2 linked regions of the Nothobranchius furzeri genome follow. The protein of the gene in region 2 interacts with the protein of the main gene of each other region in a biochemical or structural test. Links are inferred from orthologs where the notes say so. Each region holds a gene or a part of one and is shown on either strand. Other genes may lie near its edges.

Region 1 (4,539 bases), on a different chromosome or scaffold from region 2:
TTCTTTCTTACGCGGCACTTCAGTGCATCTCAGCCAGCAAGACTCTGCTAACATTGCCGGCACAAACATCCTTGTTCAGCAGGGTTTTTTTTTTAATTGGGGCTAGATCATGGGTTTGACTTTGGCCATTCAGCGCTTTGTGATTTATATCTGTGAAAGGCGCTATATAAATAAACTTTTACTTACTGTTTTTACTTACTTACATTCTTCAGGGCTCCTGGGTCATTGTGAGCCCCAACAAAGTTTCCTAAGACATTTAGAGAGGATCATGGCACCGTTTCCAATTGTAAATAAGCTGCATTCTACCACCACTTTAAAAGTCACACCACCAGACTGTTGAACAACTTATATACAAGAGCCATCACTGAATTGAATAATGCTGCTATTATGTCACACAAACAGTGATGCAAGTTGTCTGGTTTAGGTCTAATTGTGCCACTGTAGAACTGCTTCTTTCAGAGCATCTTAGTGATGTGACGCTCACAAACAAATCAAATTGTTTGAATGGGTTTTCAACATGAACACTGAGAGCCAAGTCCTTGTAGAGAACCGTTCATCTTGTCTTCCAGTAGCGATCCATATGATCCAAATATGATGTCACCATGAAACCTTCTGATCTGTGTTTTTGCTTTTAAATCTCAGCAGGTGATGAGGCAGTGGGAAAAAGAGGTGCGGTCAGCGTCGAACTTGGATGAGTTGCTGAGACTCACAGACTTTCCAGACTGGAAGTTATGGAAGTGTCGTCTGAGGATGCAACAGCCAGAAACGTTCTCCTTTCCTACTTCAGTGGGGTCACACCGCTCCACTCGCTACGCTGCAGAATCATACAACCTGGAGATACTTAAAGGTTGGATGAAAGATATGATGTAGTACATTATGTGCAACTTCATAAATTGCAGGGTTTAATGTTCGTGTGTGTCTGTATGTTTGTGTGCATTTGTGTGTGCGTGCATGTGTGTGTGTGTTCAGCCATAGATGAAGAGTGGCAGCGTACTCAGTGTATGCCCAGGGAGACCTGTGTTGATGTAGCCAAGGAGCTGGGCACTGACCCCACCATCTTTTTCAAGCCTCCCTGTGTGTCTGTCCACAGGTTTGTTTGGATTAAACACGCATTCAGAATGATCATCTGTATTGTAACCCCAGATATCCTGATTACCCAGTCACTGAGAGCTTTAATATGTGCCTACTGGGCATTCTTCAGGTTTATGAAGGTGAACCAGACCTCCTAGTGCACGTAATCCAAAACCTGTTTCTTCGAGCATGCAGAAGTGTTTCATCATGATGGAACAGTTGAATAGACACAGGTCGAGAACAGGTCACATTTCTCTTGTTTATTTCAGAACTAGAAATGACAATAATACAATCCGAACTCTCCTCATCCAGGGGACTCCGGATATGACCTCCTAGACAAGAGGTCCCGCAGTTCTAGCTCAAGGGTGGAACACTGTTCCGACGATGTTAGTTACTTCTCCACCATCCTACAGAATGGGGAGGGGCAAGACAGAACACGAAGCAAGAGGCTGTTGTAAAAAGTGCCGTCAATCACAGGGTCGGGGCAGGTTATTGCTGACCTGCAGCACCAGCACCAAAACCCCATCAGGTTCGGAAGGAGCCCACTACATATGGAACATTTATGGGCAAGGCGTATGGGTCCCACCAGGGTTTGTCCATGATTTTCTTTAATTTCATGGTGGCCCCACAGGAGTTTGCCCAGAAAGCTCTTTGCCCACATAGATTTTAATGGGCCCTGCATGGGTTTTTAGAGAGTTTAGATTCTTTGTGGGCAAACCCCTGTGGGGCCACTGTGGAAACTGTGGACAAACCCTGGTGGGAACCATATGGCTTGTCCATATATGTTCCAAATGGGGCGCACCTACATGTGCTATCTGGGGGGAATGGGTGATAAAAACAACGCTCAGAGGCCTCCTTCACCCGGCAATAGAGTGCTGGAAGAGAAACTAGGTCAGCTGTTGCCTATATTTTGAACCTAGGCAGTAGGCGTCATGGCCATATTGGGTGTTGGTGGCCCTTACCTTCCTGCCAGATGATCTGGCTGTGGGGTAAAGACAGTGGGGAGGCGAGACTGGTTGGGTCACCTCAAGAGGAGAGCGTGAGAAGCTGGAAGCAGAGTCTGAGCTGGTCTCAGGTGAACGGAGGGACAGCACACGTACGTATATCCGCTGGACCCCTGCCTCTAGGGACCCGAACGGCTTCCACAGCCATCAGGTTGATGGGTGACTGAAGAAAAAAGTTCTCACATCAGAGAAAGCCACTCTGGCCGGTGCAATCACCCCGTATGTTGGAAGAGAAGCAAAAAACAGGAGACAGATGCATCATAGTGATTTGTGAAACACTGCAAACGCATATCAATGAGGTGGACTGAGTGCCAATGCACGAAAGCTTGCAGGTCACTGTAACGTAGAGAAAGTCCGGACGGTAATCTGTTCCAAATTATAACACGTGGATTGCCTTTGGGGCGACTGTGGCACATGTTACGTGCTTGCTCTGTATCGGAAGGTTGCAAGTTCGAGCCCCGCTCAGTCTGTCGCTGTCGTTGTGTCCTTGGGCAAGACACTTAACTCACCTTGCCTGCTGGTGGTCGGAGGGACCGGTGAAGCCTGAGTACGGCAGACTTGCCTCTGTCAGTATACCTTGGGCAGCTGTGGCTACAATGTAGTTCATCACCACCAGGGTATGAATGTGTGTGTGAATGACTGACTGTGTTGTAAAGCACCTCTAGAAGGCACTACATCAAATACAAGCCATTTACAGGCCACGTGTTAGCAACCTAACAATGCAAACATTCACACTTAGCAAAAAGGTTGTGTGAAGAGAGAATGGGAGAGCAATGGTGGGTTTATACCCCTCTTGTACTGGATTGGGGCTGCCCAGTATGAGGGCGTATATTAAAAGCTCTTTAGTGATTGGTTAATTGAGAAATATTTGACACAACCAGCCTTAAAGGGCAAAGCCTATACAAAATAAAACTTTGGTCCTTCATCAGGTTTACAAAGGCCAAATTAAATTCAACAGTCTCAGTCTAGTCTTTGCTCATTGCTTTATTCTGACATGAGTTTGTCTTCCTGCTCTGCTGGCAGGTGCAGCGGCTGCTGCAATCAAGAGGGTGTAACCTGCAGGAACACTTCTGTTGCATATGTCAACAAAACTGTGAGCGTCTTCCATTTTTTTGAGGGTTTAATCAGCAGCGTCAATCAAGCTCAACTTTCTGTCTGTGTGATTGTACATTTTAGCTCCTAAGTGTGATTCCCTTCAAGTTTGTACCAGAACCTGTGTTAATAAAAGTAGCCAACCACACTGAGTGCAGGTGCATGGAGCCTGCAATCATCCGCCGTAATGCTCAGCCACAGCGGAGCAGCGGGTGAGTCCAAATCATCATTACTAATAGTACTGTTTCTCAAAAAGATTTAAATAAAAATTTCTGTTTACGTTTTTTTTTTGTTGATATAGCTGTTCTCTGATGGGCCAGCTGTCAGAGTTTGAGGACTCCAGGAGACTGTGTGCCACTGGCTGGATTTGGGATTGTTCCTCTGAGAGATGCATACCCTACCCCTCCACTGGACCAGGTGAGTGCATGGAAATATATCCAAATCACGACGCAATAAACTCTTAAGTTAATTGAGTATGCTTCTAGTCAAAAACCTCTGCTTTAGTATTTTCATTTAAAAGCCATGTCTCACACAGTGCTTCCACTCAGTTCCTGGATGCCAGACTGTGAGATAGATGTGGAGCGGTGTGACTGCCTCCCCAAACCCGAGCCTCTTCTCCAGCCCAGACCGGTCCACCGGTGTCAGCACAACTCTTCCATCTGTGCCCACAGGCATCAGCGTTTTGATAAAGCCTTACGCAGGTGAGTCAACTGAACTAATCGTCTCTTGTTCTTCTGATTATGTAATCTGTCGTTAGATCAAGGCCAAGGCTCTATACTGGAACATTATAAATGAGAGTTAATTGCCTCTGAAAACATAAAAGCTCATTAAATTAATTCTTAACACCTGACACCTTTCATGCAAACGGTAAGATGTGTTCACTTGGAGTGGCAAGCTGTAACGTATGTTTTGGTTAATTTTTGAAGAAGCTTACGCTTTTTAGGAAAGTTTGTGATAAATGTTGCTGTTGGCTTTGGGCTAGGGTTTAGAGCTGCTGTTAGGTTAGGGTTAAGGGTTTCAGCGTCCATCACATTAGGAGCAAACCTGCTTCTCTGTAGGTCAAAAGAAAACACAAACGCATTGTTTCTTCCTGAGTTAATTCAAAAAGAAGGTTGACAAATTTGTGATGAGGTGATGATCTGTACTCTAATGTGTTTACGTCAATGTAGATTTCATCATTCATGAAAAAATCTCCCTCTTTTTTCAACAGATGCAGACCACCCAAGTAGAAGTTCACCAGGGATTAAATTTATTGACAAGTTGCTCATCTTAAAACAGCAACAGAGAAAATAATTTCCTATAATTTATTTTCAGTACTATTTATGGAGATCACTGTAATAAAACTTCAGTCTGGAGTTTTTCCTTTTCAGGA
Region 2 (4,539 bases):
AGTACATTGCCTTTTTTTAGTTTCAATTCTGAAAGTGTTAACGTCCACTCAGAAGATCCATTATAGTGTTTCTCAGTGCTCAGTGAAGGTGAGTTCAAAGCTCAGGAAAAATGTAGGATTTTTTTTTTGTTTGCTACTTGGCGATGCTCCTTTCACCAAGAGAAATCAGATGTCTGATCTTCAGACTGCCAGTCATAGATGAGTCTGATCATGTGGCTGATTCTGATCACCAGCTCAGCTTTTGGTCTACTCTGCTGGAACTGTACACCATTATTAACCTGCAACTATACCTGAAGACTTGTTTTTCACCACTACATGAACTGCATCTTTGCATTTGTAAAAAAAAAAGGTTTCCTTTCCGTTTGCCTGCTGACAGCCAGGTCACAACATAAACAAACGTTTCTTTGGAAGCTAAAAAATCACAAAAAATGCAGGCAGCCTGTTTAAAATGACAGGGGTTATAGGTTAACAGGGAGGAAGAAAAGTGTGTGCTCTCTGACCCGTTTCACGTTGCAGAAGATGAGGATGAGCAAAGCCCAGAAGAAAACTGCGATGACACCGGTCCCGACTAAAATCACGATCTCCACGTTGGCCTTGTCACTCGAACCTGATCGCAGAGATCAGAAAAAACAACATGTGGGTATAAATGGTTTTACCACTAAAACACAACACCCCACCCTGACACAGCTTATACCCCAAGGCGTCTACAGGGGGCACTGCCTTACAAAACATTGACCCCAGCTCCTTTCCAGTAACCTTTGGGCGGGCAATCCTGGTCCTCGAGGGCCACTATCCCACATGATTTACTGTTTTCCTTGTTTCAACACACCTGATTTCAATCAGCAGGAGATTAGCTGGCTTCTGCAGAGCTTGATGAGCTGCTGAATCAACTGTGTTGGAACTGGGAAGTAACAAAAAGATGCAGGATACTGGCCCTCGAGGACTGGAGTCGCCCAGCTGGAATCAGTTTGCTGAGCAGACTTTTAAGGTGTTTGGGTCTTCTGTGGAAACCACTTCCAGTCATTCCTCTTAATGATTCATTCTGAACACAAAACGTCCAACAAGTCAATGGGTTTGATTTGGAGAGCAGAGAGCACAAGCACACGGCCGTCAGCGGCAGTAGAGTAACGACGAGCACTTTTCAAGGGTAAAGAGGGCATGAACTATGTGTGTGTGTGTGTGTGTGTGTCTTTGTGTGTGTGCATGCTTATGTGTTTGTGTTTGCATGTGTGTGTGTGTGTTTGTGTGTGCGCATGTGTGCGTGCGTGTGTTGCTGTCTCACCGATGACCCTGACAGCAGCTGAAGACTGGACACAGCCTCGCTGGTTGCAGGCGGTGCAGGTGTAAAGTCCAGCATCCTCCTCTCTGACCCGCTGGATGCTCAAGGTGCGGTTTGAATCCTGCAGCTGGACCCCTGCATGATTAATGCATGACTCCATGACTCCTCAACGTTATTAAACAGCACTTTTTGGGGGGAGGGGGGAAGGGGGGGGATCGAGTCACAACTCCAGATATCTATTATTCTATCACTCTACACGTCAGGCTTCATGTCTGACTAAACCCAGAGCATCGGCTGTCAATCAAACCCACAGAACCTCAAGAGGAATAGCACAGAGAATAGAAATGAGCGCTGGTCGGCAATGCTCCCTGTCTCCAACGTGCGCTTGAGGTGTGCACCTCATCAGACAGGCTAAATGCAGAATCCCACCCCCACCCCCCACTCCACACAAACACACACACACACAGACAGACACATACACACATTCCGAGTAATGACAGTCAGGCTGAATTTTAATATCAGCCATTCACTGGACATTTACTCACACACACTCCACGTGCTACCAAATCATGAATCATATTAATTTCAATATTTAAACAAACAATCCACCAGTTTTCAACTAGGATATGATTCTGACTTCCAGCCAGTGTGTGTGTGTGTGTGTGTGGGTGGGTGGGTGGTTGATACAGAAGGTGGGCCCAGTTGTGTTAACGAGTGTGTAGGTGTGTTTTTCCCACCTGACATTTGGTGGAGGGGCTGGTTGTCTTTGAACCAGGAGAGATGGGGCAGAGGTCGGCCGTCTGCATCACACTCCATCCTCAGAGACTCGGTAATGTTCACCGTCTGGTTGGTGAGGCTGTGCTTGTACCGCGGCGCCTCCAGGGCTAGAAAATAAATCAATAGCATCGGTCATCGTCAGAGCCATGGGCCTGTAGTCTTGTACGATTGAAAAAGCAAAAGTAAATAATACGTGAAAAATAATCTACAAAATCCTATTAAAATGTACATCTGTCCTAGGGGGAGTGATGCAAGGTGATCCAGAGCAGAGAACATGAATGAATTCCAAAAATGTGTTAGTGCCTCGGTGTGTGTGTGTGTGTGTGTGTGTGTGTGTGTGTGTGTGTGTGTGTGTGTGTGTGTGTGTGTGCGTGTGTGTGTGTTTCCTCCACAGAGTTCTGCTCTATAATTAGCTGTGTTTGGGCTGAACATTTACAGGATGTGAATCTGTGTGTTTGATGCTTGTATTTATTCCTCCTTCCTCTCACCTTTGACAGAGATGTATCTGAACAGACACTGCTTCTCGCCACTGCGCCTGCTCTGAGCCGTGCACACATAATGCCCCTCATCCGGCAGCCGCACGGACTCGACCGTGAAGTCTGACACCCAGCTGTTGGAGTTTTTCTGGAAGAAGAGCTCGCCCTGAAGGGGTTTAGCGTACCGGTGCATGCTGCTGCAGTCCAGCTCCGGAAGCCTACCCTGCTGGTCCTGCAGAGCCTGGGGGTTGAGACGGTACCACTGCAGCTGATCGTAGGTGTAGTTGTCAGCACTGCAGCGCAGAGACATGTTCTCCTGCTCCAGGGGGGTCTCAGAGGGATGGACATCTACACTGAAGCCTTCAGGGATGGCTTCAAAGATGAAAGGGGGCAGTGAGGGGTCAAGATGAGGCTTTATGATGTAAAATGATGAAAAGCACTCTTTATATAATAATAATAATAATAATAATAATAATAATATTAATAATGCATTGAACTTATATAGCACTTTTCTAGACACCCAAAGACGCTTTCACACACTCTCACATTCACCCACTGCTAGTGATGGTAAGCTACTTGTAGCCACAGCCGCCCTGGGGAGGTCTGACAGAGGCGAGGCTGCCATTTGGCGCCGTCGGCCCCTCTGACCACCACTAACACAGGCAAGTTGGGTGAAGTGTCTTGCCCAAGGACACAACAGCAGGATACCCCTGGCGGGAGCTGGAATCGAACCCATGACCCTCTGATCATGAGGCAACCCGCTCTACCACCTGAGCTACTGCTGCCCTAAATAATATATTTAGATTTATAATAAATAAATCAATTCCTCCAATTACAACAAAAAAAATATATAGGGAACGCTTTCACTTAAATCCAGAGGAGTCCAACCCAGGAATGTCGATAGGAACGGTCTTCGTTTTGAGCATCCCAATAAAGTCTTGCCTGTGCCGCTCAGTTGGACATGCTGAAGGCCATTCTCAACCTGGTGAAGTTTTATTACAGTAATTTCTTTGGCATTAAAGTGCTACAGGGAATAAACTTTGGTGCCATACACATAAAGGCCATAGGAACTAAGACAAGCTCCAACTGTTTGTGATGATTTTAAAAATGTTTTATTTTATCATAATAAATTCAAGCTCTGTTGAGGAGTGGCTAAATGTTTTTAACACAAATGTCAAGCAAACACCAGGAGGATCATCATATTTTATTGTTATTACTGATTAAAATGGGAAATCTATACATATTATGCAATTGTTGGTGCGCATCAAAATGCTAATTTACAGTTTGTAAAATGTAGTGAGCCTTCCTAACTTGAATCTGACTTTCTACAGCAACCAGGAGTGTTGTGAATAATCGGCCCCTCAAAGATTTCCTCATTGGGGGTTTGGGTCAGAAATCACAGTCAGACAATAATGTTTGACATCTGACATAGATAACCTGAGCAAATACAAAATGCATTTTCTAAAATTACTATTTCATAAACTGTTGTTACAAAGCTAACCAAACTGATCACTGTAGGACCTAAAAAGCAACACATCCTGGCTCTAAAGAAAACACAGAACAACATCTAAAGTACTGCAGGTGGTTGAAGTCAAGGGTCATGACTTGTGCTAAAAGACAACAAAAAGCAGAACTTTCTGGAAGCTGTGTCTTAATCCATCTGGAGGAAACCTACACCACCAGACATTGTAGTGGATGGTTGCAGCCTTTGACACTGTTGACCATCACCTGCTACTAGGCTGAGGGACTGGGTACACCTGTCAGGATCTGCTCTGGAGTGGTTCTCCTGTTGTCTGTCTGAGCGCTCCGTTTCTGTGGCCATCTCCAAGTTTAGGTCCTCCACCACCTCTCTTACCCATGGTGTCCCACAAGGTTCTGTGCTGGGGCCTCTGCTCTTCCTCCTCTATCTGCTTCCTCTTCAGCACATCTTGAGCTCCTCTAAAGGAATCTCCTACCATCTTTATGCAGATGACATCCAACTCTACATCTCCTTTAAGCCCCATGAGA

The links. The genes of interacting proteins can lie anywhere in the genome.
Region 1: the proteins of flt4 (region 2) and vegfd form a complex in vitro, tested with the Homo sapiens proteins (2 studies listed by BioGRID). The link is inferred for Nothobranchius furzeri from reciprocal best matches to the Homo sapiens genes FLT4 and VEGFD.

What each region holds. Positions count from the first base shown.
Region 1 is NC_091749.1:41,122,942-41,127,480, reverse strand, and holds part of vegfd (vascular endothelial growth factor D), read left to right. Parts: intron 1-642; coding exon 643-847; intron 848-969; coding exon 970-1,090; intron 1,091-3,098; coding exon 3,099-3,168; intron 3,169-3,251; coding exon 3,252-3,379; intron 3,380-3,468; coding exon 3,469-3,584; intron 3,585-3,702; coding exon 3,703-3,868; intron 3,869-4,377; coding exon 4,378-4,396; 3' UTR 4,397-4,539. UniProt on the Homo sapiens protein: Growth factor active in angiogenesis, lymphangiogenesis and endothelial cell growth, stimulating their proliferation and migration and also has effects on the permeability of blood vessels.
Region 2 is NC_091741.1:101,869,792-101,874,330, forward strand, and holds part of flt4 (vascular endothelial growth factor receptor 3), read right to left. Parts: intron 2,905-4,539; coding exon 2,545-2,904; intron 2,164-2,544; coding exon 2,017-2,163; intron 1,415-2,016; coding exon 1,283-1,414; intron 608-1,282; coding exon 501-607; intron 1-500. UniProt on the Homo sapiens protein: Tyrosine-protein kinase that acts as a cell-surface receptor for VEGFC and VEGFD, and plays an essential role in adult lymphangiogenesis and in the development of the vascular network and the cardiovascular system during embryonic development.